Linked DNA regions of Tamandua tetradactyla. The protein of the gene in region 1 interacts with the protein of each later gene in a biochemical or structural test. Links are inferred from orthologs where the notes say so. Each region holds a gene or a part of one and is shown on either strand. Other genes may lie near its edges.

Region 1 (7,100 bases):
GGTTTTCCTTGAGGGTGAGACCCAGCAGGTTGAAAGACTTTTCTGTGAAGTCTCTGGGCTCTGTTTTTCTTATCCTGCCCAGTATGTGCTGCTTGTCTGCCTGCTGGTCCCACCAACATAAGATGATGCAGTACCTTTAACTTTGGCAGACTCTCCCTGCTGGGGGCATGGTGGAGACAGAGTAGAGGTTGTAGGCTGGTTTTAATGGCTTCAAATTACCAAGCCCTGGTGCCTGAATTCCTTGAGGGAGGGATTCCACCTGAGTTGGGCTTCACCCCTCTCCTGGGGAAGGCACAGGCTCCAGACAAGCCCTCAAACGAGCTTGTTTCTGCCTATGCCTGGAGCAGTTGCAGACTGAGAAGCCCTGCCACTGTATCCAAAGGCAGTCAGCCTTTGTAGAAACATAGCCACAAAAACCTGTTTCTGGGCAGGCCACAGTGGCTCAGCAGGTAACAGTGCTTGCCTGCCATGCCCGAGGACCCGGGTTCGATTCCCGGTGCCTGCCCATGAAGAAAAATAAATAAATAAATCCCCTTTCTTTTTCCATCAGCCCTGCCCCCTTGGTGCTGGGGCAAAAATGAGTGACCTCCACCTTGATCAGGTTCACCTGAGCTGGGAGCCTACTTTCAGTAGACAGAATTTGTTAATTAATGTCACAATTGGCGTTTGGCTGGGCTCAGCCCCTGCTGCTGGTTAAGTCTCTTTCCTTTCTCCTGTGGGAAGCAGCCTGTGGGGGAGGGGCGCCAGCTGCCACGGCTTGGGAAACTCACGATTCTGGGGAAGCTCGCAGCAGGTCCAGCTGGTCCAGACTGGGGTACGCTGTGTGTCTGGTCACTCACGTGGTCCCAGGAGCTGTTCTGTATTGTTTCTGGTTATTTAGTAGTTGTTCTGGAGGGCGAACTAAAATGCACACATTGCTAAGCCACCATCTTGGCCCTCCTCTGATTTCTTAATACTGAGTGTCCCTACCACCTGACAGTTATTGTCATCAATAGAAACTGTATATTTCCCACATATTTTCATAAGGTTGTTGTCTGAAATGATGAAATGATAAATTCTTTAAAAGTAATATTACAAACTTATACCCATCAGTAGATGATAAGTACTTAGTGAATGGGGATCCCATGTTATATATCTTTCTAGCCCAGCAGGCACAGAGTAACTGTTAGTTACTTGAATGTAAGAATAAACAAAGTGCGAGTTTAACCGAGAGCAAGAAAGGTCAAAGTCAGTGAATATCTTTTTCTAAAGAGGAATGTAAATAATGATTTATGACCTCCAAATATATCTGGGTCTCAAAATAAAATTCAAATGATGACCCAGAGCCTATATCATAAGGGAAACCATGCAAGCTGCCTATGGACTTTTACTTGATGAAGCAACAGAAGTCCTTCAAGAAAAGGATTTTCCTACTCTATGTTATTAGTAAACGTCCATCAACATTAACAAATCAATATTTATAGTAATTCTTCTTTACTCAGAGACCCTTATTTAGATTAAAAACCTATCTGAACACCACTAACTGCACTGCCGTAGCTTGTCACCTTCAGAGTTCATTTTATATGTTAATGAAATGAACTCAATAAATTACACATAAAAAATCAATTTAAGGAGTGCTTTCTTGTCAACAAGGTGTAATCATACTTAAGTTAGCCCCTCATTGCTATCACAAATTTTCATCTACTTCTGTCTACAGGTAGCATGTTATTTTGTAAGCACTGTAGATACTTGTAGAACAACTCTCTGCAATACTCATTTTACAGAAAAGGAAGTGATTTGTGGAAGCATATGATGTTTTTCAAAAAGATTTTCCTAAAATCAACTTAGGTTCAACTGTAGGGCTTAAGAAGGATTTGAACAAATGCCCATTTACTGTGAAGATTTTCTGGGTGGTTATCACAGGCTCAGCCTACAACTAGACTTAGAGTGTCAGTGTCAAAACTGACAGAAACGCTATTGCAGCAAGGTCTTCTTACTTGTCCTTCAAGTTGTCATCCAGCAAAGTCTCAGCCACAACCCTCACGCACAACTTTCTGAGTGACCGTTTCCAGAGCTTCCCTTAAGATGTGAATAGAGGGGTTCAACCATGGGAGATTGGGGACCCGGGGCAAATTTTGTTAGGAATAAAATCGAGGTAGGAGAAAAGGGAAGGGAAAAGAGCTCCCTTCTTCTGACACTAGCATTTTGGCTGGCACCACGAGGTGGAGGGACTAGAGGGGGCCGTGGGGCGCAGTAGAGAGGACGGATACAGCTGCTAAATGCCCCCAGCCTTCCTGCTCCCCAAGGCGTCCCTTCCATTCCTCCCCGGAGGGAGACGACGAAAGGGGGAAGGGCCATACTGGGAGCTAAAAGGTAAGAAGGAACGTGCTGACTGCCTCCAATTCCGTGCAACTCACCTCCACTCCCGAGCCCACCCAGCCGCGCCGGGCCCGTCCCCCGCCCGTGGGGGTGGGGTGGGGCGCGGGGCTAGCAGGCGGCTCAGGAGGGGCCGAACCGCCGCCGCCACCGCCGCCGCCCCAACCCGGAGGCTCTGGAGCGGTCACCGTGCTGGTCGCCGCTCTCTTCACCGCCGCCGCGCTACGTGATGACGTAACGCAGCTGGAAGATGGCCCCCTCCCTCCTCGGGGTCTGCGTCACGTGACCAGCCATTTCACGTGACCAGTTTCTACCCAGATGCCCAGCTTCGGTGCGTTTAGGGAGAGAGGAAACGAGAAAGGTGGCGCTGAATCGGGTCCGGCCCGCAGGGCGACGTACTGCTCTCCAGCTAGGTGATTGGCTGAGGCTGAGCCCCATCTCCCCACGGCTCACGAGGCAGAATAGATTTAGAGGATTCCAAGGATTTGTAAATTAAGGTTCTGATTCCAGGGAGTACGTATTACCTGCCAGCTATTTAGGAACCCTCTCCCATCGAGAAAACCCACAGAAGATTCCAATTTCTTTAGGTCCATTCTCCACAACGACCTTTTCGGGCAGACCTCCACTGTGGTGAGACACCTCTGAGCTCTGCGATTCACAAACCTTCACATTCTCTGCATCATAATGGGGCTACTCATCTCTCCTGAAGTGATTCTGCTTTGCTTCCTCTACCCCAAGACAATTAATTGGAAGGCATTTGTGGCCCCTAAAAGTAGGACACTATCAAGTTCCTACCTCATTTAAATACTAGATACAATGAGGTGCTCAATAAATATTTGTTATTTCTCAGATCCACGTCTCTGGCCTTATTGCTGAAACAATAAGCATACACTAGGCTTCAGCACATATTCCAGACCTCATTACTTCCTCACCTAGGAAGTGGATGGAGTTGTATCAGATGTGTTCCCAAACTTTCCTTCCAGTTATATACTGGTGGTTGCAAACTCAGAGATGACTCCAGAAACCAGGCAGATGACTCCTAAGAGTGAAGCAGGCTAGGTAGGGACAATGAACTACACAAGTCCTCTCTAGAGGACATAGCTGCTACTCAGCTTCAGTCGACTGTTCCCACTGTGCAAACAAAACATGTTTGTAGACAGTTGTGGCCTGCAAGTAACCAGTTTGTGACTTTTGCTAACAAAAGTTTTCTACTAAATATCAAATAGATATAAAACACTTGTATCTTTGAAATATTCAGTGCAATGAATACCCAGGTACCCATCATCTAGTTGGAAAAAGAATGTAAAGTTTACCATTGAAACATGGTGTGTCCCTCTCCTCCCACCCTGTGCCTTACCCTTCAGACATAACCATTATTCTGAATTAACATTCCCCTTTTTAAGATTTTACCATTTGCTTGTATCCTTAAACTATCTTTAGTTTTGCACATTTCTGAACTTTATATAAATGCAACCATATGTATTCATCTGTAAGTTGCTTTCCTCCACAAATTTACTTCTGAATTCAACCATTGCTTTCTCTGTAATTCATTTTCACTATTAGTGTTTCATTATGTGAACTTTAACGACATTTATTTTTCCATTTAACAGTTTTGGACATGGGCTGTTTGCAATATTTTGCTATTACAAGCAGCTGTAATGAACTTTTTGTTTATGAGCACAAGGCATATACTGATGCATATCTGCACAAAGCGGTGACACCAATGTGTACTTTTACCAGCAGCATTTGGTCTGCTCCACATCCTTGTGAATACTCAATATTTTAGGCCTTTTAATTTGTGCCAATTTGATTGTAGGGAAATGCAATATCATTGTGGTATTTTACATTTCTCTATCACCACTTGAGGTTGAGAAACTTCTTGTTCGTTGCCTAGTTGAATTATTTCTTTAAAAACATCACTTGCTCCCTGAGTTGTACAAACTTGAAGTGAATCCAACTTTATTACCCAAGAAGACTTTCCTTCAACACCCTATATTAGCTGAGAAGTAATTACTGTAGGCCTCACTTTATCTATGAGCAGAACTTGAGTATAATTCACAAAGACACAGAAAGGCATTGAATGACCCCTTATGAGACAGCCTAACCAAGGCAGTGTTAATAGAAACTAACTCTAAAATAATATATAGTACACCTTTGATAATTTTAGGAGATCCCAACATCTTTAAGAATCCTCTAATTATTTGATACCATTATAGAATATTAATTTTCCCAATAAAATGTCTTGCAATAGGTAGAGAAAAATAAGCTGCATTGAGGAGCAAATGCTAGGAATTCAGTTAGGCTTATTTCTTGGCCCACATATACCAGTCTGTCAGAGCTCATGATTCAAGTTTATGCCTCAGCAGAATCTGAAACTGTTATATGTCGTAGACCTCTGGAGTATGCAAATAGTTGAAACCTTGAAATGTTAAATCTTTGAATGCCAAGTATCTTCTGTACTTTTCTTTTATTATCGTCATAGTCTGTGCATCAAGATACATAGCAATGATAGCAGGTTTCTTTTTAAAGCTTAGTATTAAATATTAAATATCTTTTCCCATTTTAACTTTACATTACTCTGCCAAGAAAAAAAAAATTAAAACTCAAGTTATTTGAAGCCTGGACATACTTCCATGATTAGCCGGGCTATGTAAAAGTTGGTGGCTTTGATCTTGCTGCTGTATACTCAGATTCAGGCCCTAAAAAGATGGGACCAGGTTATAATTGTTTTTGAAAAGTCTGCTACAAAAATGGATGGCCTGTCATAAGCCAGGTTACAAAATAAGGATTGGGGTAAGGAAGGGACATTTTCTTTCAGAAACAGAATTTCTAAAGAGTCCCAGTTCATCATTTTTTCTCAAAATGGTCTGAGGAGGGAGTAAAATCTCAACATGAGCTTCAAAGTACTGTCTCTTTGAGGGAATGGTAGTTGCCTTACGGAGGGGGAGGGATAAATTGGACTATCCTCTTCCCCACCAACTAGGGGAAATGGAAATGGAAAGTTTATTGCCCAGTGAGTGTGAAAGTGGGCTGAAGCTTTGATGGTAAAGAATTCTCTAAGAGGTTTCTTCTAGAAACAGACAACTCAGACTCTTCCTCTCACTTCAGCAAAGAAGTTATTTTTAAAAGCACTTGGGAAGTTCCTATGCCACACCTCTGGTGGGAAGGCTCAGAGAAGGGAGTCATCAGTACAGCCACCTTCTAGGCCATAACGGAATTCCTGAAGATTGGAGACTCCATAGAAGTGTACAAAGGCAGCTGCCACCACCAGGACATGGAAAATCTGATGAGACTGGAACTGCAGGAATAAAAAAAAAGAAAAGCCTTTAGTATAATGGCAAAAAAGGAGAAGAAATTCTAGTGGGAGAAAACATCTGCCTCTTTCGGTTTCTTTAACAAAATTATTTTTTTACATCATAAAAGTGATATCTTTATTATAGAAAACTTTTAAAATAGTCCTGCTCAAAAGTACACCAAAATATTATTTTTTTACAGTTTTTTCTATGTGTATATACATATGTAATGCACAAACAGTGCAAGATTCCTAAGTCTATTACCACCTTTTTACTCAACCTTTAACTTTACTTTGGCCACTCACCATCATAGTCCCTACTGGAAGAGTCATTTCTTACCCATATGTCAAACTTTCCAGGAAAGAAGCGCTCAGGAATTCGAGCAGCATAAAGGCCAGCTCCAGTGATGTACATCACAGCCATGAGAAAGAACCAGCCCATCTGTCCCACTGTGGTGGCCTTGACAAAGCCCTCAGCGATAGTAAAGTGCATGGTGGGCACAACACCACTCAAGCCAAGTCCCAGGAACACTCCTGATCAAAGCAAACATAAAAACAATGAAAGAGCCACTGTGTGGAAGTCATTGTTATCTTACTCTAGATTCTAAAATGTTTATATTAATTAGCTATTTTTTGGTGAACAGTAAATAGTTAGGAAATTTAGCCAGATGGATAACAGCAGATATTTATTCCACAGCCCAAATGTCTAAGTGCTTATATAGCTATCTTTTAAGGAACACCAAGAACAAACACCTTAAGTTCTTCATTATTTGTTAAAGAGCCTAGGCAAGAATTATGTGAAACTCCTTCATGACTGACTCAGGTACAGAACTAGATTTCAAGGCTTCAGTTGGCTGAATAGATCACCTGGCTCCCAAGCCAAAGAAGAATAAGACACGTTTCCCATTAAAACTATAAGAAGCTGTACATAGCAGAGAAGCTTAGCCTACCTATAGTTATACCTAAGAATCGCCTTTGGAGGGCCTCTTTTGTGGCTCAGATGTGGCCTCTCTTTCTCTCTCTAAGCCCAACTCCGCAAGTGAAACCACTGCCCTCCCCCCTATTCGGGACATGACGTCCAGGGGTGAAAGTCTCCCTGGCAGCATGGGAGATGACCCCCCAGAGGTGAATCTGGCCCTGAAACCATGGCATCAACAATGCCATCCTTACTAAGAGGGGGAAAAGAAGTGTTACAAATAAGGTATCAGTGGCTGAGAGAGTTCAAAATAGAGTTGAGAGGCTACTCTGGAGGTCACTCTTACATAAGCTTCAGTTAGACATTGCAACAATCATAACTTGCCAACCCCTAACCAAAACCATTCCTGCCAATCCTATGGAATACTTAGGGCATTATATAAGATTCTACAAAGGTTCTATGTACTACTGTAACTTTCCAGAAACCTATAGCCTCCAGATGGGTCCCTGGACCAGATAAGTCCTGAAATGCTGAGGG
Region 2 (7,659 bases), on another chromosome or scaffold:
ATTTCAAATCATTAGCTCTTTCTCAAAAAGTAGTGCAAGTGATTTTTTAATATATTAAGAAAGTAGTTTCTGAGCTTACCCCTTTAGCCAGAACTTTAATTGGAGTGTTAACAAATATAGTTCAGAGTATACCGGATGCAGCTGAATGGAAGTTTTTGCAGTACATAGAAAAGAAAAAGAAATTTAAAATAGAACCAGAAAAGTACAATAGTAGTATTTCTTATTGGAGAGTGAATTCCACAATGGCTTTTTTATACCTTGATTTAAATAATTAGGAGGTACTTGTTACCAAATTTGTAAAATTATTCCATTATTCACTGGTAGCAGAACATATGTTTTCTCCCGTATAATTTAGTATATAGGAAAATAATGTATTTTGCAAGTATTGTACCTTAACTATGTTTGTTACATCCCCCCAAATACATTATTCAAAATCTGGATCCTATTTATGGAATCTTCAATGAAATCCAAAAAAATAATATGAATAAATGCTCAGGACACACACTCACAAACACACATACACAGTCATATAGATCACATTTCCATCTTAAGTGAATTTTTATTAAGTAGGTAATACATGTAATACAGAGTAGAATTCATTTCAGGGGAAGATTCTTCAGACTTTTAAAAATCACTATTAGTATTTAGCAATTTATTATATAAAGGGGTTCCCAATATATCATCTTACTGTTCTTTAAATACTTTTTTTTTATGAAAAGGGACTTAAGAAGTAACCATGAACCATCCAAATTACTTATAATGGTCCAATCTGAGTAACATTTAATTTTAGGGAACACTATCTACTCTTAACTTTAGAATTATTTAAAATTTGTTGGCATTTAATAAATACCTTTTTGGAAGCCACATTTCATTAGAAATGTAATTTTTCCAAAGTTTCTGGCCATATACTCTCTTTTCTTCAAATAACTAGGTCTGAAAGCAATGAAAACCTGAAAAAAATAATGTTTTCCCTACGGCATTAGTTCTTAAGTTTTAGAATGTGGATTACTTAGGAAGTTTATTTAAAATGCACATTCACTGGGCCCACGTCAGAAGTCTACTGTGCCTTTGGACCTTATTTTGAGAAACACTTCTGTGGAGTTTCTCTTTTCTTTTTCTTGTGGCTAATATTAAGAAGAATATTTATGATAAAACACTTTGAGGATGGGTAAGCAGTGAGTTACTTATTCATAATTTTAAACATATTTTGAATGACTTCTTCAAGTGAGTTTTCTTCTAAAAGTATATCCATCAGTTGTATACCAATTGTTCTGGTTTGCTAGCTGCCAGAATGTGATATGCCAGAAATGGAACAGCTTTTAAAGACGGAATTTAGTAAGTTGCAAGTTTATAGTTCTAAGGCCATGAAAATGTCCCAATTAAAGCAAGTCCATAAAAATGTCCAAATTAAGGTACCAACAAGAGGTTACCTTCACTCAAAGGCTGATAAAGTTCAGGGTTTCTCTCTCAACTAGAAAGACACATGGCTAACATGGTGAGGTCAGCTAGATTTCTCTCCAGGCTTCTTGTTTCATAAAGCTTGTCCAGGGGTGTTTTCTTTTTTTATCTCCAAAGGTCTCTGGCTGCATGGGCTCTAGTTGTTCTCCTGGCTCTGTTGTGGCTCTCTTCCTCTCTCCAAAATGCTTCCTCTTTTAAAGGATTCCAGTAAACTGATCAAGACACATCTCCCTCCAATCAAAGGTTAGTAGCCACAATTGGATGTGTCACATGCCCACAGAGATACTCTCATCAAGTTTCCAACCTACAGTGCTGAATAGGGATTAAAAGAAAAGGTTGTCTCCACAAAATGGATTAGGATTAAAACATGGCTTTTCTAGAGTATATGGCTTTCAAACTGGCACACCAGTAATGTTATAAATGATGAGAATTTTTCCATGATGAGGTTTTAACAGTTATTCAGGGTGGTTTCTTGTTCTATCTTTTTTTAACTAACAAGAGTTAATGTGTATTTTATATAGAAATGCATTACAGATGTTTTGTGTTCTGCTTTTGCAATTTTTAAATGCCATACCGATCCTTTTTATATTTTATTATAGAAGTTTTCTCAAAATACTCACAAGGGGAATAAGGTGGTAGGCAGTGAGAATGGCTAGAATTTTGATGTTCTAAGAAAAAATTTATTTTGCATAAGCATGATATTTGTGGTCAGATCATTTTATATATATGTAGCCTGAATTGGATACCAGGTATTGTCCAGTACTAGTACATTTGCTTTTTAATTTTTTTTTTTTGTCATGTAGACTACTGCCTTTGTCATCATATTGAAACATGTATTTCTGTAGTTCAGTGTCTTCCTCCAACTTCATGCGGTTGTTGGCAGAATTCAGAAATCACTGGCCATCAGTGGGGACTATTTTTATCTCCTAGAGGTTACCTGCCATTTCCTGCCTGGTGACTCTCTCTGCAACATAGGAGTTTCCTTCTTGGAAGCCAACAAGAAAGTATATCTGCTGCTGCTTTGAATTTCTCTGAGATCTCCCTGGCTCTGACTTCTAGATTTTCTTTCAAAGACTCACCTGATTAGGTCAGGCCCAATCATGGGAATGATGTCCCATCATATTCATAGATCTTTCCCAGGCTTATGGGTGGTGGATTATGTAGGATGGGTGTATCTGAAGTGAGAATCTTGACAGTCATTTTAGAATTCTGCCTGCTACAATGGTAGACATTTCATTAACTTATTTTATAAAGTTTATGAAACATATTTTTCATTATTAAAATAATACATAGCGACTATAGGCATTTATAAAACATACTAGAGAGTTAAAATGAAACATAAATTTGTACCACCATATCAACAACACCACACTTAAGTGGTTTTCCCTTTTTTTTCCCCCATGAAAAGGCTTGGAATCCCCCACCCCCACCCGTCCCCTTTGTTTAGCCTGGTAGAGATGGCAAAGTCCTCAGGCAGGGGGACTGCCCCACATTTCTTTCCACCTATCACCCCCTTGTGGAGTTTGGGACACTGGAAGGCTGCCCCTACAGGCAGAAAGGGGCGGTTAAGGGGGTAGATTCCTGAGTGTGACAGACCTAAAATAAAAGTCATTCATGACAGAGACTGGTATTAGCAAAGGTTTGATGGGATGTTTTTAAAACCCCTGCGACTTGTCTTTCATCCTTCAACAGGTAACCGGCTCCACTTAAAGGGAAATTGAAACCATCCGAAAGGAATACTTGCAACTTCCGTGCCACAAACTTCCAAACATCGGTATTCTTTATCTATCCTTTCCTCATTCCCTCCAATCACAATGAGGAAGGTACCCCTCCTAAAGCATTCCAGATTCCATCTTCTCAGGGAATTTACTGTTTTTTTCTTTTCATCCCCTTATTCCTTCCTTATACTGGCTCATTCCCATCCCATACTTAAGCATCCTCAAATTTCTTCCTTGTGAAAGCTAACCACCCTCCAACGCCATGTACCACTGTTTTTTATTCTCTGCTCTCATTATAGTCAAATCTTCTAAAGGGTTGTTTGTCTGCAAACTCTTATTACTTCTTTCTCACCCAGGTCACCAAGTACTGCCTGGGGCAGTGTGTCCTATAGTAGGCACTGCACAATCATTTTTTAAAGTATATGATGGATGGATGTACAGGATTCTGAGGGTACAGACAATAAATTCATGTATGGCTTCATATATAGTAGACTGGGATGCTGTTTGACTTACTGAGTTGAGAAATTATCTTCCTATTGTGATGTCTTTGATATACGACTTCATTTTGAAATAAAGTTATGGAAAGTCAGCATTATGCCACAAGCAACAAGTATGAAAACAAGTGGGGAAACAATGGTGCCGCATAACCAATCCGTTCCCACATAAGGACATGGGACCGCATCACCCAAGGGCCGCGCGTCCCCCACCCCATCCGAGGGGTAGCCCGAGCCCAGTCTGTGCCTAGATCGGCCCTTCCGGCTGGACTCCTGTTTACAGCACTTGGCCTCGGTCTCGGAGTGCAGGGGAGAGCCGAGCGGCTCTTGGCCAATGGCAGCTCTTGAACTTACACCTCTAGACGTCAGCGCGGCAGTGTAAACGGATGTCACACAGCTGGCTCGGAAGCGTCTCCTCCCGCTCCAGAAAAGGGGGCGGGGGCGCAACGGCCTCCACGAAACCTTGGGCTCCGGAAGGGAATAAGGCGCGCTGCACCCCGCGAGCCCCAAGCCCTAGCGGGCCAGCATCCTCTCTGCAGTCCCCCGCCTGGCGGTAGTCCCGGGTGAGCTGCCTGAAGCCCGCGTCCCCGCCTCCAGCGCGCCGCCGCGGCCGACTCCGCCCCCTTTCAGCGCGGGCCGCGCGCTCCCGCAGAGCCCAGCCGCGTCGCGAGTGCGCGCACTGCCGGCGGAGCCGCAGTTAAAATGGTCCGAAGGGGACCCGGCGCTCCCCCGGCCACGGCGCTGACTGACTGAGCCGGCAGGCCGGGCCCGGACTCGGACTGGTCGCATAGCCGGCAGGCTTTCTCCTTCTCTCGCGTCCCCAAAGCTCTCTCCCGTCGTTTTCCCGGCTTTTCTGGGCAAAGCATGTAGCCCCCGTCGGGCACCCAGGCAGCTCGCAGCCGACGCCCACCCCCCACCGTCGCGTGTGTGCCTGTGTGTGCGTGTGTGCGTGTGCGCAGAGCGGGCGACCCCGCCGCGGGCCCGGGGCCGAGCCAGCGAGCGGCCTGTCCCGCCGCCGGGAGCCCGCCTCTCTGGGCCTCCCTCCGTCCCCGTCCCTATCCCCGTCCTCGGGGCCTTCTATATGGGCCACCTTCTCTCGAAGGAGCCGCGTAACCGCCCAAGCCAGAAGAGGCCTCGCTGTTGCAGCTGGTGCCGCCGCCGCCGCCCTCTCCTCAGGCTGCCCCGCCGGTCCCCGGCCAAGGCGCCCCCTCAGCCGGCGGCGCCCCAGAGCCGGGACTGCTTTTTCCGCGGGCCCTGCATGCTCTGCTTCATCGTGCACAGTCCCGGCGCGCCCGCCCCCGCCGGCCCAGAGGAGGAGCCGCCGCTCTCGCCGCCGCCGCCGCCGAGAGACGGGGCCTACGCCGCCGCCTCCTCGCAGCACCTGGCGAGGCGCTACGCGGCCCTGGCCGCCGAGGACTGCGCGGCCGCTGCCTGTCGCTTCCTGCTCTCTTCCGCCGCCGCCGCTGCCGCCGCCGCCGCTTCGGCCTCTTCGCCCGCCTCTTGTTGCAAAGAGCTGGGGCTGGCCGCGGCCGCCGCCTGGGAGCAACAGGGCCGGAGCCTCTTCCTGGCCAGCGTGGGGCCTGTGCGCTTCCTGGGGCCGCCTGCCGCCGTGCACCTCTTCCGGGGGCCGTCGCCGCCGCCGCCCGAGCCCACCACATCTCCAGAGATGGTGTGCAAGCGGAAAGGGGCAGGGGTCCCTGCTTGCACCCCCTGCAAGCAGCCCCGCTGTGGCGGCGGGGGCTGCGGTGGCGGTGGCGGCGGAGGAGGGCCTGCGGGGGGAGGAGCCTCGCCGCCGCGGCCCCCCGACGCCGGCTGCTGCCAGAGCCCGGAGCAGCCCCCGCAGCAGCTCTGTCCCCCGCCTTCCTCTCCCACTTCGGAAGGTGCCTCCATAGAGGCCGGCGGGGACGCTGTCCGAGCTGGGGGCGCCGCCCCCTCGCCCGCCCAGCAACAGCAGCAGCATGAAGGCGGCGACGCGGACGGTCCGGAGTCCCGCGAAAACCCCTGCGACTGTTACCGGGAGCCGCCCCCCGAAATCCCAGACATTAACCAGCTGCCGCCATCCATTCTGCTCAAGGTGGGTGTGGGCCGCAAGGATGCTCGCTTCCCCAACTCCGGCCCCCGCCTCCAAGGTTTCTTCTCTCCTCCCCCTAAGCACGGGGGAGGGGGCTGCCCTGAGAGCCAGGGACATCCGATTGGGAATTCAGTAGGGAAGATGCTTACCGTCTGTTTTTTGAACTAGAAAAATGTGGAGTCTGCTGACTGTTATAACTTCCATCTATTACCCACAGTTTAAGGTTCGTCTCTTTTTAGATTCCAAGCCCAGTGGTTTAGAAACTATTTGTAGGCTTTTGTGAAATATTTTATCAATTGAGCAATTTATACTTACTGGATAGTGATTTTGTCTATTAGTATTTGAAAGCCTTCGAACGATACTTTTAGATTTAATAGCTGCTGGTTGAAATAACAGTTAACTTGTACTGAGCACTTACTATGATCAGGCACTGTGCCAGAAGCTTTGTATACATAATATCTCATTTAATTCTTCATATAACCCTGTGAAATAAATATTGTTAACGTCTTCATTTTATTCAAGAAGAAACTGGCATTTAAGTGCTATGGGCCAGACTTAACAGTAGTGAGGCAGGCAGAAGTGGTCTTTGCTCCGATGATGTTTACACTCTAGTGGGGCATGAAGACATTGAATGACTTGTACAGGGTCACACCCACAAAGTAAGGGGCGCATCTGGGTCTGGAACTAGGGAATTTAGGCCTGCCTGCCCTAAAAAACCCTGTTCTTCATTCTGTGTTGTATTGCATTACTTCTGTTTAATCCCTACATTAGAGCATACAGGTTCCTACAAAGTAAGGGCAAATGTATTTTTTTGTTGGGGATGGGTGTGTGGAGAAGAGATGGTTGTTGTGTGGTAGCTTTGCAGCACTTTCAACTAAGTGAATTTTGCAATTTTGTCAATGTTAGTGACAAAGTTATGAGATAGAATTTGTATGAAGTTATGATTAACTTAAGTTCTTTTGTCTCATTTTTTGCCTGCTGTCGCTCCTTCCTCTTCTCCCTTTCTGGAGCTTAAGAAACATAAGCCTCCCTTTTTCACTGTGGATAATACTTAAGGTTAGCCATAAATAACCTTGTTAAGAATTTGACTACTTTTAGTGATACTCAAGGTCACCAGTCACCAGTATACCTTCTTTGATTAGTCTTTTTTGCATATTTATAATTCCGTATGTTTGGATCTGTTCTACTGTGAACAGTAGAATTAGTCTTCTTGTGAAAATACAGCAAAAGTGAGGGGAACATGACAGCACTTCTGGAGGTATATTGAAGAGTAATTGCTTGTCATGTGGTGTGGGAAGGGGATGGATTTTAGGGCAGAGGGAACTTTCCTGATACCTCTAGATCATTGATAAATTTGGCACGAGGTTTAATTGCTGTCTTTTTATTTGGCTAAGTAAGACTGCTAAAAAACAAACCAAAACAAAAACGAGGCACTTTTTATTTAAATTATTTCATGCGGTAGAGAACATTTTAATTTTATTCCCCCCATAATCTTGCAATGTAGTAAAACCCTATAATAAATTTATTCTATCTGCTTCATTCTTCTTTTTCACATTTTTGCTGTAGACTGCTGAAAACTTGGCCTGAGGATCTTTTGACAATTACTTGCCCTTTTATGTTGGAGTATTTGGACATGTTAAGTAGATTTCCATTTCTTGTAATAGAAACTGACATAAAGATTCTCTAACAGATCTTGTGGTCCTTGTAGCATTCAGCATGAAGTGAGTGGGACAGCCTGGAATGAATTGAAATCAAGATTCTTTCCAAGTAGGATTTTGGGGGACAAGGCTTTTGGGGCAGAAGGCTGTATGCCTTGCTTTCTACTGTATTCCCTCCCCAAGTGCAGTACTCAGCATATGGTAGCACTCAATAAATATTAATGGGAAATGAATGGCCGAGTCTTGAGGGAGTCTGACCT
Region 3 (7,271 bases), on another chromosome or scaffold:
ACACCAGAACCTAATCATCACAGGTAACATATTTTGTTTGCAATAAAGTGTAACCACAACCTACGAATGGATAATCAAGTGTGGTATATACATACAATGGAATATTTTTCAGCTGTAAGGAGGAATGAATTCCTGATACAGGCAACACCATGGATGAACTTTGAGGACATCATGTTGAGAGAAATAAGGGAGACACAAAAGGACAAATATTATATGATCTCACTATTATGAACTAATTATAAGTCAGCTCATAGAGTTAGAATCTAGAATAAGGTGACCAGGGGATAGACTGGGGTTAGAGAACCGGGAGTTGATACTTAGCTTGTACAGAATTTTTATTAAGGTTGATGGTAGGGTGTGGAAATGGATGGTAATGATGGTAGCACATTATTGTGAGTGTGAGCAACAGCACTGAACTATATAGGTGAATGTGGTTAAAAGAGGAATCTTTAGATGTGGATATTACTAGAGTAAAAATTAAAAGATAAAACATAAAGCTGTATAGCACAGTGGGCACTATTGCAGACGATGGACTGTAGTTAATAGTACAAGAATATTCTTTAGCGGGTTATAACAAATGTATGAAACTAATATACGGTAGTAATAATAGAGTGGTATATGGAGAAAATATAGCTAATGTAAATAATGGATTATAAATAGAACAATTTTAATAATCTTTCATAAATTATAACAAAAGTAACTATTGCTAGAAAATAGAATATATTTTTTAAAAAGTGCTATCATTAATAGTAACAAATGTTCCAACCTATGCAAGGTGTTGGTGGTGGGGTGACGTACAGGAATCCTGTACATTATGCATGATTGTTTTGTAAACTGAAACTTCTCTAATATAAAAAAATGAGAATAGAAACATCAAATTGGGTAAGGTAGTGGTATTGTGATTTGCAGGAGTTATCCTTAATCTTAGGAGATATATGATAAAGGATCTAGAGTTGAAGATTAATGTACTTTCAACTGGGTCGGTTAAAAAAAGAGAGAAAGAGGAAACCAATATGAGAAAGCGTTTCATTTGATGAATCCAGGTGAAAGGTATATGGGTGTTCATCATATTTTTCTTTCAACTTTTCTGTATGTTGCAAATTTTTAAAAAATGAAGTTCTATCAATTATCTAAAAAATGAAAAAGTACAACTGCACAGCCTTCTCAGCCAACACTCGTGTCTGCAACTACTGAGTAGCCCTGTGAGCCCCCTCCCATTACATCGAATTCTTGTTGTCGAAAGCCTATGCCTGGCAAAGAAAACAAACCTGCTGTTCTGAGCTCCAAGCCCACAGAGCAAGTAGATTTTCCCTGTAGATATTTATGCTGAGGAGTCACAGAATCTAAAAACATGAAAACTAATAGCCTAATGACTTTGAGTTTTTATAGTTATTTCAATCATCATTTAAAGGAGATAGACTAGAGATAACATTTCTGAGCACCTTGACTAGTAAATCACCAGTATTTAAACAACAATTACATTATGAAATGGAAATTAGCTGTCATGATCAAGTCGAACGGCTAATATAATTGATTGGTTCATATTTTTAAAAAGGTAGAAAATACAACCCAAAGAATAGCTTCATAGATTTTACAAAATTAACTAGAGATGACACATTCTATTTTGTTGGACAAATTGGGGATTTGTTAAGTGAAGATATTGTTCACAAAGATGCCTTAAAGGAGGCATTATCACCATCCTCATTTTACAGAAGATATCAAGAATCAGAGAGGTTAGTCGATTTGCCCTTACAGAGTGGCAGAGACCAGAAGATACATTACTGAGCCTCTTGCTTCTAAACCTGCATTATTTTCACTGGTCCATGTGCAAAGGGAAATTTGTTCATTGCTTTTCTTTGTCCTTTGGAATGGGTTTATGGAAGGTGGGTTCATTAACGTTGCCTTAATTTTTAAAAAAAAGGCAAGTTTTTCACACCAGGCAGGAAGCAAAAAGGCGCAAACCTGGGACCTTGGATTGTGAAAGTGAAACGGATTTCTTCTCAAATTATTTTTCCAAAACCTTCCTGGCATTTTTAAATCCCTTGAACTATCTGTGACCACCCACTGCTCTACAACATTCAAATTCAGTGATCTTGAGTCCACTGCCCCCTCACCCTCCACACATGCCTCCTCTCCTATGCATGTATGAATGTAGGAAAGAGAATCTTAAGTTTACTCCCACTGGTACATAACAAGAAATGAGAGTCTCTTACCAGCAAGGCACATTAAAATCCTTACAATCAGTACTAACAGTTTGTTTAGTACTGTTATTTATCCTACTATTAATAGGAGAAAACGCTGAAGTTCAGAAAGGTTAAGTAACTCGGCCAAGATCTCACAGTAAGTAAGTGATAAAGGTGGAGGTGAAAGCTGAAGACTTAGGCAGGGGAACCCCCTCCTACCACCACTCTCAGGCCCACCTATTTCACTAGAGTGCTCCTTAGTGTTGGCCTGGACTTGGTACAAGAATCTCAATTCAATCACTAACGGTGGGGCACACCCGAAGCCTAGGGAGGAGATGGAGAGGGGAAGTGGGAGTGCACGCCCGAGAGGCAGGCCCTCACAGAGTCTTTGGCTTTTAATAATATAAGTCCTTCTTTCTGGACCAACTTCGGAAATGCAGCTTGATAGAAAATCTGAACGTCACTATGGTCCCAACTTTTTCCAAACCTTGCCCACGCAGCTGAGGGCACGTGTGGCGCACATCTGCCCGCCCGCAGCAGTTGAAGTCACTCAGGCTGCGCAAAGCCCAAGCCGACCCTGGGGAAACAAGCCTCTAATTAAGCCCATGAAACTTACAGAAAAGCCCTTCCAGGGTCGCAGCCCTTTGAAAAGCGGGGATCCCATTTTCTGAGAGCCACGTCCGGACACGTTTTCGGGAAATCTCCGGAAGTGGAAACAGCTACCCCAGTTTCCTGGCCTCGGTTTTCCCTCCCGGCAGGATGATGCCCTGAGGTGCCGGAAAGAAAGGGGTTCCCCGTGGCGCGCGCGTCCTGGCAGGTGGTGTGCGTCCGGGTGTGGGCGGGGTTCAAGTCTGAGTGTGCGCTCACAAATACGCGATTGTACAAGCCGCCTGTTAACGTGTCCCACGTCCAGGAGCTTCCTGGCGGCCGGGGAAAGCTTTTCCAGCCCCTGACTCCTGTTCGCAGAAAGCAGGCCTGCAGGTCCGAAGGCTGGCGCGTCCACAGCGGGGAAAGCACTGCAGGCGCGGCCGGCCTCTGCGCTCCTTTTCTGCGACGCGCCGGCGGCTGCCGAGGCCATGACCCCACTCGACGCGTCTGGCCGAGTCCAGGTTCTCCTGCCCTCCGTGGCCACAGACCCAACCCAGAAACTGTGAAAGGCGGAAAGTCCGAGATCTCCCGAGGCCCAAGGCCCAAAGCCAAAGGCAATAAGCCTCGCCATCGTGACTGCGATCGCGGACGCCAATGTAACATTCCCCGGGTTCACCGGTAGAAGCGAGTATGTTTTTGTTTTCTTTTGTTTAAAAAAATAAAAAAGGAAGAGTGAGAGATGGGGGAAGACGGAATCGAAAGTGACCGTGAGCCTAGAGTTGACCATAGAACCCAGAACGGTGTTTATTTTCCTTTCTTTCCCTGGGGGGCGGGATCCTCTGGCCTTACAAGTCACTAACGCTCAGGGAGAGTTGTGTGATAAACGGTGGTTTTCGCCGGTGCCGGACCCTCTACTAGTCTGGGAGGCCAGCACCCGCGGCTTTTCTTGGCGCCAGGATCCACGCGGTCTCGTTGCCCTTTGGGGCCTACGCGGTAGCAGCGAGGCAGGCGCGATCCGGCTGGGAGAGTACACGCATCGAACAGCTGTGCGCACCCGGCCGCTGCCCCTGCGGAACTGTGCAACCCTCATGGCGGGGCCGGGCTCCGCATCCTTCCTGGCAGGCTCCAGTGTGTGGGGGGTGGGGCAGTTAAGTAGAGCGCCTCAGTCCCTGAGGGTCTGAACCTCCATTCCTTCCCCACCCCCACCCCCAGCCGCTCTGCTCTCTACCCCCAGACGCCCCGCGCAGACCCCTGCGCGCGCTGGGTAAATCTCGGCATCATGCCGGGAACCGAAAGCAGAGGACAGGAGTGGGATCTGTAACCCACCAAATAAGCCTCAGGGATTCCGGAACCGCAAGTGGCGATAGCCACTTTTCAGTTTGCAAAGTGCGAAAGTTTCCAATGCAGAATTCATCTGGGTTCAATCCCGGTGCTGAGCGCCAAGGACCTACAAAGATAGAGGAGCTGGTCTACTTGGAGGCTTTCGGTAGTCTCCGAAGGAGGGAGGATTAAAAGGTCACCTTTTCCATGCGAGGAAATTGAAGTTTCAACAGAAGTGTCCAGGAGCTGAAGGCTGCACTCGCCGGTACAGGCAGTGGCCCCAGCTCCCTAGGTCAACTATTCCGTCACGCTCTCGACTCTCCCCACCCCTGACTCGGTCCAGAACAGCTACTGACGTTAGGCAGCGCAGAGGGCAGGCCCTCAAGGCTCCGCCTCTGCAGGTTCTTCGATACTTCCAGGAGGGGTGGGCACCTCTCTTTTGAGCCCAGCCCGGCCCGCCCAGCCTGGGTTCCTCGGACCACCGAGCTTTAAAGGACATTGATCACTCCGCTTGATGCGATGCCTAGAGGAAAGGGCAACTGAAGACCGGTGAGGGCAGACGCTAAGCCCGGACACCCGGCCAGGTCCGCGCATCCGGAGACCTGCGATTCCCCAGTCCTACGGGTGAATTTTCCGAGGAGGCTCAGACTGGCAACAGGTTGAGGAGCTCATACCCTTGAAAATGCACAAGCCAGACCTCCAGTCCACCGGCCTCCACGCCCCAGGGATGACAGGAGCAATAACTACAATGGCTGCCCCTTACTGAAAGCTGCCTGCGTTCCAGGCAAAATTCAAAAGCCTGTGTGTACATTATCTCAGGCAAGCGTCACAGCAAACCAATGAAACAAGTTTTTTCTTTTAAGATACCCGTTTTACAGATGAGAAAACTGAGGTGCAGAGAGATTAATTACTTTGAGTTCCAGCCAAAAGAACCCAGTATCCTCATGTTTTCATTTTAGAGACTGGAATGTGTGACAACTGTTGGTCTGGGAGGCAGAATGCAGTCATTGAGGCTTGGCTCCCTGACCATGCGATTTTCTCAGTTCTCGGGTGACACCCACAATAAGCTTTGCCAGTTGGAAGCCTAAAGGATTAACAGGGTTTCTGTTCCCTGGTGGAAGAGTGAGACAGGGCCCAGCGCTGGAACCTAGGAACAAACTTTCTGGACACTAATTTTGGCTCTGGATGTTTTAGCTGTGTGACCTTGGGCAAGTTGCTTAACCACTTTGAGCTTCAGTTTTCTCAGTTACAAAAGAAAAGAATAATAATGCATAAGTCAGGTAGGCAACTCTTATGATCATTGTGAGAGTTAAATGGAGTAAGAGAACATTCCTTTCTCTCATCTTTTCTTCATTTTCCCTGTTTCTGGTATGGTACCTGGCATGTAGTGAGTGTTCAAGATAAGGTATGCTCCTTTCTTTTACTTTCTGGGAAGCAGCACAGGCTGCACCTAGGGCCTCCCACTCTCCCCAACCCAGGCCTAACACTGCCCAGCCACCAGTGGGGCAGGGGATCCTCCCGTTCTCCCTCAGCCTCAGGCCTGGGTTAAGTAAGGCTCAGACACCAGAGCCCACTTTTCAGTGGACTGGCCTCAGCCTCTCTAGTTCGGTGAGCAGTGGGTAAAGGGGGGTAAGGGTGGCCCAGGGAAGAAGCAAGGCCAAGGATAGGTCCCCAGACAAGAAGCAAGGCCCAGGATAGGTCCCCAGACTTGCCACTCCTTTCTAATTGAAGGAAGCTACAGCTAACACATTGAACTTACTCTAATTTCAAACCCAAACGTAATATATAGTATGTATATATTAATTTAATCTTCACAACTGTCCACTGAAGTAGTACTATTACTATCCCCATTTTACTGATGAAGAAACTGAAGACAAGCAAATAACCTGCGGTGACAACATCAATGAGCAATAAAGCAGGAATTTAAACCAGGAGACTATATGGCATCTCACATGGGGGTAGGGGTAGGGAGAGTGATGGTGGGAAAGGAGGGGGCATCTTGAAGAGAGGGGAAATAACCTGAGTCAGCAAGATCTCACCATAGCACCCAGAGGTCCAGAGGCCTGTAGGTGACATGGTCAGCCATATCTGCCCTCCCACCCCTCACCTCCTCCTAGGAGCCACCCCCACCTGCCCTGGAGACCCCTGACCCTGAGGCCACATTTTCAGGTTGTAGCTCCTTTCCTATTTTGGAGCTGGTCTTGGGTCTCCTGAGTCTGAGATCCAAATCGTATGCCTACTCATGGCCCACCTCTGCCTTTGCCTTGGACCTGCTGGGCCTTCAGGCTGCCACCATCATCATCCACCCTATCCTCTCATGGTTCTCAGGGCCTCTCCTGGTCTAGGTCCCTCCAGCCCACACCGTGCATGCCTAGGGCTCTTTTATCTGCCTCAAAATCTGATCAGATTCCTAGCAATTCCTAGCAGCCATGTCTGTCCTCCCACCCCATCCCCCACCCCATTCTCTCTCCTGTGAACACTCTGTTTGCCAGTGTGGACTGTCCAATCTCAGCTCCATTTCTTATGGGGGTTTTTTTTCTTGGTGGATCTGGGAGCTGAAGAAAGTTCTGGACTCCTGAGGAGTAATGTGGGGAGACGCTGGTCCAGGCAGTGCCCTCCACCACCAACCCCTTTAACCCCCACACAGCACTATACATCTCCAGCCAGGACCACCCACAAACAGACCTGAGTCCTCATCACTGCCTGTGAGGCCCACCCCTGCCTCTGGGCTTCCTACAAAGGGTGGTAGTTAAGGAAAGCTGTTTCATGGCCCTGGACTTTTCTCCCTCCCTCCCCCCCTCCCTCCCCTCTCCTTCCACTAGAGAGAACCTATATACCTTCTTGGCCTCACTCTTGCCTTCCCTCCCAGCAGCAGCCCTGGGCCTCCAGGTGCCTTTGGCCTTTCCAAATCACCTCTCCTCTGTCCTGTCTTTTATTCATTCCTTCAGTCAATAAATATTTATTGAGCCTCTACTGTGTGCTAGGTTCTACAGATCCCCAGCTAACCCAACCTTTGCCTTCTCTAGTGACCCAAATTCAAGCCACTGCCAGGAGCATGAGGGGATCACTGAGAGGAAGAGGCAGGGAGAAGAAATCAGGGAAGACTGCCAAGGAGGTGACCCAAAGAGTAAATAGAAGTTGGTGACCTTTGGGGACCAGAGAAGCTGATAGGGGCATTCC
Region 4 (7,676 bases), on another chromosome or scaffold:
TATATATAAAACAACTAAATACATTAACAGTTTCTCTAAGAGAAAAGGTACAACAAGGACTACCTAATCCATGAATACTTAGTTAACATGTAACATTTACTGAAAGAAAAAGAGACAAATTGACAAGAACATAAAATGGTTAAGAGGGAATTCAAAGCTTTTAGAAAAGTTTAATTTTTGGCTTTAGTACTCAAAGTTCCATCAGAAGTGGTGCCACTTATTAACCTACTCTGAACAAAAGGCTGCAATGCCATCTTTTAAAAAAATATTTATCACTATAACAATGGCTTAGACCAATGGTCAGATCTTATGTGGTCTGAATACAATGAAACAAATGTAGCATAATCCACTTAGTATAATCATTCTCAAACTACTAGGAATGCTATGGAAATACAGCTTCACCTGGATGCATATTTCCTTCTTTTAAAAAGATAATTATCTTTAGTTGTAACTTCTTTGAAAATATGAAGGTTTCAATTAAATCATGTACTTCTCAAGTGAGATTTACTTTAAAAGCTTTTAGTGATTTTTCTTTCAAAATTATATATGATAAAAATTCATGCCATGCAAAAGAGTTTCATTCCAGAATATTTTAAACAGAATATAATCAGTATGAAAATATTTTTTAAAAACTGTGAGGATAGTAGTTTGTTCCCATAAACCATCTACAAGACAGTCTATCCAGCACAGCAGTTAAAAGCATCAGCTGGAGCCAGACACCCTCAGTTAAAATCCCAGCTCTTCCCACCACTTCCTAACTTTGACTTTGGGATGTAACTTTGTTTCTTGGCTCCCCCATCAGTAAAATAAGGACATCAACAGCAAGCTGTAAGAATTAAACAAGGTAGAACACAAAGAGTGCTTAGAACAGTGCCTGGCCTATAGTAAATAAATGTTCATAAATGTCAGCTATTACAAAAGCAGCAATTTAAAATGTCTATCTGAATGAATCCTGAAAAATACATCTGTTGAAAAATATTTATGTTCCAGACTAGAACACTTATTTTTCATCCAAGCTTCTCTCCACAATAACTGCATGCAATGAAATTTTTCTTTCTGCTCATCTTCAAAATGCTAATTTTGCGAAGCAATCCTAAAACCCAACACAAGTATTCTTTGAAAAAAAATTCCAGCCTTCAATGCTATCTATAGAGCAGAACTATACTGCTTAAAGTAAGAGGTAAGAAAATCAGAATTTTTGAGTCCTAAAAATCCATCCTGGAGCAGAATATCTCATTATGAATGAGAGCACTTATTCTAAAGGATTTATTTACTAGTACCAATACTCTAGGCACCCATCCAACTCATCTAAAACCAAATGAAAGAAGAACCAACTGGATATTGGTCACGGAGCTAAATGGAGTCATAATTACTGCAGTCTACAATAAATAAAGCTTTTTGAGCTATCTAAGAAATTAGCCTACCTAAGAAGGACATTTCTGAAAAAATTTTAAATCAATTTAATAATATCACTTTATGAGGATTTTTAACTTAAAAATTCTGAACCCCATGAAATTACTCAGGAAATCGTTATGTGCACATGTACATTCATTCTTCTAGGAAGATGATCAAACACTTTCATCATATTCTCAAAAGGGAGTGGATTCCCAAAAGATCAAGAATCACTGCTCTTTATAGTTTATAAATTTCCTTCTATTCCTACATTATTAGTTTCAGAAAAGAACCTGCTTATATAAAATTAAGCAGTATAATTCTAAATCCATCTCAAATCTCCTGTTTCCCAAATAACTGGGGTCGTACGTAACAGAAATTAACAACTACAGAAACACTTCAAGTTATCAAAAAATTCTCAGTCTAGGGCGGCCAACAGTGGCTCAGTGGCAGAGTTCTGGCCTGCCATGCTGGAGGCCTGGGTTCGTTCCCGGTGCCTGTCCATGCAAAAAATTTTTTTAAAAGTTCTTAGTCTACAAAAGTTTTTCAAAGCTGTAACTATGAGATGATGGAAAACAGCCTACAAGAACCACCTAAAAAAGGTGTCTGCTTTGGCCAGCTCTAGAATAATCGGTATATACAGAAAACGTAGAAGAACATATAAAATATAAAAATGAGCCTCTAATTGTCAACTACATACTGTTACAATTACTGAATAAAGACAACTAAATTTCTGTTTTATCTTAGAAAAGGTGGTTTAATAGGACGATTTTGACACAGAACATCACAGCAGACCCAAGTAAAATTAGTTCCTTGAGCTCACAACAAAAGTTAATAACGCAATGTTTTGATTTTTTTACAACCAGTGCGGGATTTAAATTCTTACTATAACAACTTACTAGCAAAAACATGAAATACTTCGTAAGACTTCCTTCGAAATATAATACAGGCTGCGACTGACGACTATTGCCCTTAAAATGATCCAATCTGGTTAACCGACATTATCCTTCAGTTCAAATGTACGGGCCTTTAAGTCGGCAATAGCTCAAATATAAACAAAAAATCCTTAGCAAACTGAAGACTAGTAAAGTAATCTCGAGGTTTGTTTCTTTCCCCAGCTCTCGAGGGTTGTACTTCTTTGTGCACAGGCTCCGAAGGTCTCCTAACCTCAGACCCCACTAATCGCCCGGCTGGGCTCCTCGGCAGGACATCTCGTCGTGAGCCTCGGAGCTCCGGGTCCGCTGTGGAAACATCAACGGATGTGAAGAGCGTGATCCCCGAAGCAGCTCGGACGCCAGGAGTTGTCAGGTCGGGCCGGGCCGGGCCGAAACGAAGACCAGGGGCGCGCCGCCAGAGACCGGGCCTCAAGGGCGGAAGGCGCCGGCGATGACTGAGGCCGGTGACCTAGCTTTGGGCTCGAACCCAACCCTGAGGTCGGGGGACCGGCGAAGAGAGAAAGGAGAGGACTCACCTAGCGGAGACCCTCAGCCACCGGCTCCTGCGTTAGCGTAGCGCTCGTAGGACTCTCGCTGAATTCGCCACCACCCCCGCTCCCGGCTGGGGACACTTCCACGTTCCGCTCCAACGTGGCACCCGCAGCCCCGCCCGTCCGGCCGACACTTCCGGCACCGACGCCACGCCCCTTTGGCGCCGGCCTGCCACAGCACTTCCGGGAGGAGCTACCGGCTGGGTAACCTGAGTCCATTCAGCCGCCTCCAGCGCCCTAGAGGGAAGGGATTTGCCTCTGTGGGGTTGCTCACAGGTTGTCCATGTGAGGGCCAGGGCTACGAGAAAGGAAGATCTTGCTGGGGTTTGCTTTATGCCGGAGAATGGCCACGGCTTCCCAAGAACGTCACGGAGCACTAATCCTGAGGTGCCCTTAATACTCAGCAGACCTGAAAATGAGGATTCAAGGGCAATTTGAGTATCTGTAGTTTATTACTTGTTTATTTGGTTATAACCGAAAGTTGTTGTGAACATAAGTTTACTTTCTCCAATTGTCTAAGTACGTAAGGGGGCCTGAAATGGTAGCAGATTTGTTATTCCACCGAGGCAGATTGGGTGAGGGGATATTCCAATTGGTATCATTTAAGATCTCGCCCTTGGCCACTAGTATTTTCCTGGCTTTTGCTAAAGCCTGCCATCTAATTAGGTGCGTTGTATTCCTTTTTTTCTGATATAGTTTAGGAGCAATTATTTTACAATGAAGCAAACCACAGGATGACGACTTGCTGAAACAGCATCTAAATCCAACCGCCTTAATTCAACCAGCTTTTTCCCCATTACATTTCAATTAAAAACCAACTTTCCTAAAGCGTTTTATAGTAGTTGTTACCAGATGTAACGTTTCTTTTTTTTGTACAGATAAGTAAAATATGAGAAACACTAAGTGCTAAAGGGTAGGAACATTTTGAACTTTTAATGCACGCTTCCCGACACCCTCTTACAGGTAATGTACCCTTCAAGTTTTAGAAATAGATCAACAACCTACACCGGGTAATTTCTAGGGTGTTCTAAAAGGCCTTCTACTTGTCACTGTCCTATTTCAGACCACCTGCTTTTATCTGGAGGCAGGGCTTATTAGAACTTTACCCAAATAATCTACCATCTAATACATTCAGCCCAATTGCATGTTTCTATTGCAGGAGGTAGCAAACTATACCCCTACCCCTCCTCCATTTCCTTAGGGGTAGGGGTCAGTGACTTTTATTTGGGGACATGAATAGTAGACAAATTTCAAATTTATGCATCCACTTTTATTGGTGCACAGCCACATTCAATAGCTTACATATCGTTGTAGCTGCTTTTCTGCTATGACAGAGCTGAGCAGTTGCAAGGTGGAATAAAGTATTTACTATATGAGGCTTCAGTTTGTCAACTCCTACTCTACGATAGGGTAAAAGGTTAATACTTCAAGTTCAAATAATCAGTATTACAAATTCTTATTTTTGTGTGCACAAAGGCAGTATGAAAAGTAGATAGTGTAATGATATGGCTTTTGCAATGTGACTGCGATTGTGGAAACCTTGTGTCTGATGCTCCTTTTGTCTCGGGTATGGGCAGATGAGTAAAAAATATGAAGAACAAAGGTTAAAATAAATTGGGTAGACGGAATTAAAAAAGTAGATGCCAATTTACTCATTACTGCAAGGATAAATTTAGGTGTGCATATTTATATGTGATTAAATATGAAGCCTCTGGATTGTTTTAAGTGCAGTCAGTCCTAGTTTTGACTATACAAGCTGAATCTAAATTTATGATTACTTTTGACCTTTAAAAATTTGTCAAAACATTATTTTGCAACTTATCAATGTAAAAAATAGTAAAAATACTTATTTAGTATACAAAATTTAAAACATTAGAAACATTAAGAATTAAAATTTATTTTTTTTTAACAGTGCTTTCTTTCTCATCACATAACTTATGATATGGAGCTACCATCTTTTTTTCTATGACATGGCAAACAGTCATACTCCTAAGTTTGGATGAGCATCCAAAATTTTATCCCTTGCACTTTCAATGTCATCAAGAGTTCCTTTAATATGAAGCTTCTTGCCAGAAACACTTCCTCTGAGACACCTTCATCCTTTTCATCACAACCACTTTCCTCATTTATGTCGATAAGTCACCTTCATTAAGTTCCTCTGGCTGCATATCTCAAGTCTCTTCAACAGCAGCAGTGTCAACATTCCCAGTCAGCTGTATCTTCTGTAACTCCATTTCCATTACTATTTGAATCCTGCAAAAATTCCTGTAGTACCACCCTGCACTACTGTGTAAAGCAAGGACTAATGTAATTCTTGGAATCTGGAGGTAAACTTCATCACAGCATCTTTATCTAAACAGCTTCACCAGATAATTTAATACTAATCAATTCATGCTGACTTCTGAAACAATGAAACCAGCCTCTACTGACAGTAAAATGTTCTTTCTCAGTCTCCTTGTAATAAAACATTTTCTTTCAACGTAGCAACTAACTTCAATGCTTTGATCTGAATGCTAGTCAGACTGATTGGGATTTGTTTTTTTATTTACTACAGTCTTCAATCCAAAATTGAAGTAAACGCTCCATTTCAATCGAGAGGCTTCCTGTTCCTAGTGCAATTTATGCTAGAAGATGTTAAGGTTACTTTACCTTGTTTTTTTCAATATGGTTCATATCATAGCTTCATGCAGGCCTAGATCTCTTCCTATCTTGGCTTTGCTGTTACCATTTTCAAATCTTCTAATCACATACAATTTCACTTCCAGCATTATTACTTTGTATTTCTTCAATTCCCTCTTTCTTTATCCACTTTTGTAAAATGTCATATGTGTTTATCACTGGGAAACAATGAGGCTACACACTTTTGTGTTTGTACATGAACTGGATAACAGATGCTCAGTGACCAAAGCGGACTTTGATTCATGATGCACATTTGTTATTTGCATAATGATTTATGGACAAGAGAGCTAGCAGCAAAAAAAAAGAGTTGTACTTTATGCAACTATTCATAGAACTGGTGATAACTGATACTTTGCGTTTTTGGCAGACTGGTGTTATTTAACTTAACTGTAGCAACTGATGTTCATGCATATTGGAACTGTGCAAAGCAAGGACTACCTATATCGGAAAAGAAAAACCTCTATTAGAGTTCGCAAAATTATCAAGTTTTAATCCAATATAATTATTTGCTAGCCAAGTCTACTCCTTGATCAAATCAAACTGAAGCATTCTCCTTGGAATGTTAGTTCTAAGACCCTGAATTACTCACTGGAGCCAAAAGAATGTTTGGAGATAATCCAGAATTCTTCAAATAGGATTTGTAGATAGTTCAAAGACGTATTATTTAAGAATTTAGTCCCCACCCCACATTTCATTTAAAAAATCTTGAGCTTTCTCAGCAGCTTAAGAAAGATCTGCAAAGAGTAAAGTTCTAGACAAAATCATCACAAGGTACAGATAGCTATGCGTAAACAATTTGTTCCATAGCAATCAGTACCATGTTTACATTTCCACACAAAAATCAGCAGCATTGCTCCTATTAATAATTTATTTTTAAAATCTTTTGATTAAGGGCTATGAACAAGAATTTATGCCAACTTTTGTGCTCGTGTAAATTTTAGAAATAGGAAATTAGCTTAAGTCAACAGTGAGTATTCACAAGAATATTTCTCCTTTTTGACATGGTATAGAGATTCCTCAAATTTGAGAAACAACCTAAGATAACACATCTAATCAATGACAGAATCAGAATTAGATTTGTGATTAATTATCAGCTTCCTACCAACTCTATCTACAGTTCTTGAACAAAGCTTAAGTTACAGAATGCTGATCCACAGGGATACCCAAGAATTATTTATGGAATAACCAATAGTTCAGCAAATCTAAATCCTGGAACATATGATCTCTAAAAGCTTCAGGAGCTGAAAAGATGATATCATTATTTATAAGAAAAGTGTCCCCTCATCTCCATTGCCTATTTGAAATTTAATCTATTGATTTAGATTAACATATCTCTAAATCATATTTATACTGTCTTTGAAACAGATTAGGGAAAAAAATTTCAAAACCCATGCACAATATCCACATTATACTCATGTTTTGGTCAGATATACCCTTCACTATTTTATCAAAACTAATAAATTTTCCTGTAAACTCAAATTTCTCTTAAAAAAAAACTAAGAATAATTTATAAACTCCTTACCTTATTAAATAAATCTTCTAATTCTTGGTCAAATAAATCTGACAAATGATAGTTTTCTAAAAAAACACCTTTCAATTTTATTCCTAAAAGGGAAAACATGCAAACAGGCAAATCAATGTACCAAAACCATATCATATAAAATAACTTTTTTTTTCCATCATGTCCTCATCCACATATATTAATCACAACAAATCATGATGTGAACAGCAGTGGGAAAAGTTTAATCACTGGACACTTGTACTGTGTTCTTTTCTGAAATTAAACTCTAGTCAAAGTTTTCATTGCTTATCCCTTTAAAAAATATACAGTAAATGTGCATTCTAGAAATGATTTCAATTCTGTAACAATAAGAAATACAAAACTTCTAATTTATTATGTACGTTAGTTTGCTAGTTGCCGGAATGTGACATACCAGAAACAGAATGGTCTTTTTAAGGGGGAGAATTTATTAAGTTGAAAAAGTTTATAGTTCTAAGGCTGTGACAGTGTCCCAATTAAAGCAAATCTATACAAATACCCAAATTTACACACCAGCAAGAGGTTACCTTCACGTAAGAAAGGCCGATGAAGTTCAGGTTTCTCTCTCAACCAGAAAGG

Evidence for each region.
Region 2: the proteins of KLHL12 (region 1) and FBXL17 form a complex in vitro, tested with the Homo sapiens proteins (3 studies listed by BioGRID, with this or other methods). The link is inferred for Tamandua tetradactyla from reciprocal best matches to the Homo sapiens genes KLHL12 and FBXL17.
Region 3: the proteins of KLHL12 (region 1) and LNPK form a complex in vitro, tested with the Homo sapiens proteins (2 studies listed by BioGRID, with this or other methods). The link is inferred for Tamandua tetradactyla from reciprocal best matches to the Homo sapiens genes KLHL12 and LNPK.
Region 4: of the proteins of KLHL12 (region 1) and SEC31A, one has a biochemical effect on the other in vitro, tested with the Homo sapiens proteins (3 studies listed by BioGRID, with this or other methods). The link is inferred for Tamandua tetradactyla from reciprocal best matches to the Homo sapiens genes KLHL12 and SEC31A.

What each region holds. Positions count from the first base shown.
Region 1 is NC_135330.1:60,149,318-60,156,417, forward strand, and holds the start of KLHL12 (kelch-like protein 12), read right to left. Parts: upstream 3,020-7,100; 5' UTR 2,949-3,019; coding exon 2,880-2,948; intron 2,541-2,879; exon of another isoform or gene 2,397-2,540; intron 953-2,396; exon of another isoform or gene 771-952; intron 1-770. Other genes in the region: ADIPOR1 (adiponectin receptor protein 1), read right to left, coding at 5,525-5,653, 5,988-6,181. UniProt on the Homo sapiens protein: Substrate-specific adapter of a BCR (BTB-CUL3-RBX1) E3 ubiquitin ligase complex that acts as a negative regulator of Wnt signaling pathway and ER-Golgi transport.
Region 2 is NC_135347.1:22,018,293-22,025,951, forward strand, and holds the start of FBXL17 (F-box/LRR-repeat protein 17), read left to right. Parts: upstream 1-4,652; 5' UTR 4,653-4,751; coding exon 4,752-5,744; intron 5,745-7,659. UniProt on the Homo sapiens protein: Substrate-recognition component of the SCF(FBXL17) E3 ubiquitin ligase complex, a key component of a quality control pathway required to ensure functional dimerization of BTB domain-containing proteins (dimerization quality control, DQC).
Region 3 is NC_135329.1:148,211,351-148,218,621, forward strand, and holds the start of LNPK (endoplasmic reticulum junction formation protein lunapark), read right to left. Parts: upstream 3,007-7,271; 5' UTR 2,800-3,006; intron 1-2,799. UniProt on the Homo sapiens protein: Endoplasmic reticulum (ER)-shaping membrane protein that plays a role in determining ER morphology. Involved in the stabilization of nascent three-way ER tubular junctions within the ER network.
Region 4 is NC_135350.1:44,826,057-44,833,732, reverse strand, and holds the start of SEC31A (protein transport protein Sec31A), read right to left. Parts: upstream 3,014-7,676; 5' UTR 2,864-3,013; intron 1-2,863. UniProt on the Homo sapiens protein: Component of the coat protein complex II (COPII) which promotes the formation of transport vesicles from the endoplasmic reticulum (ER).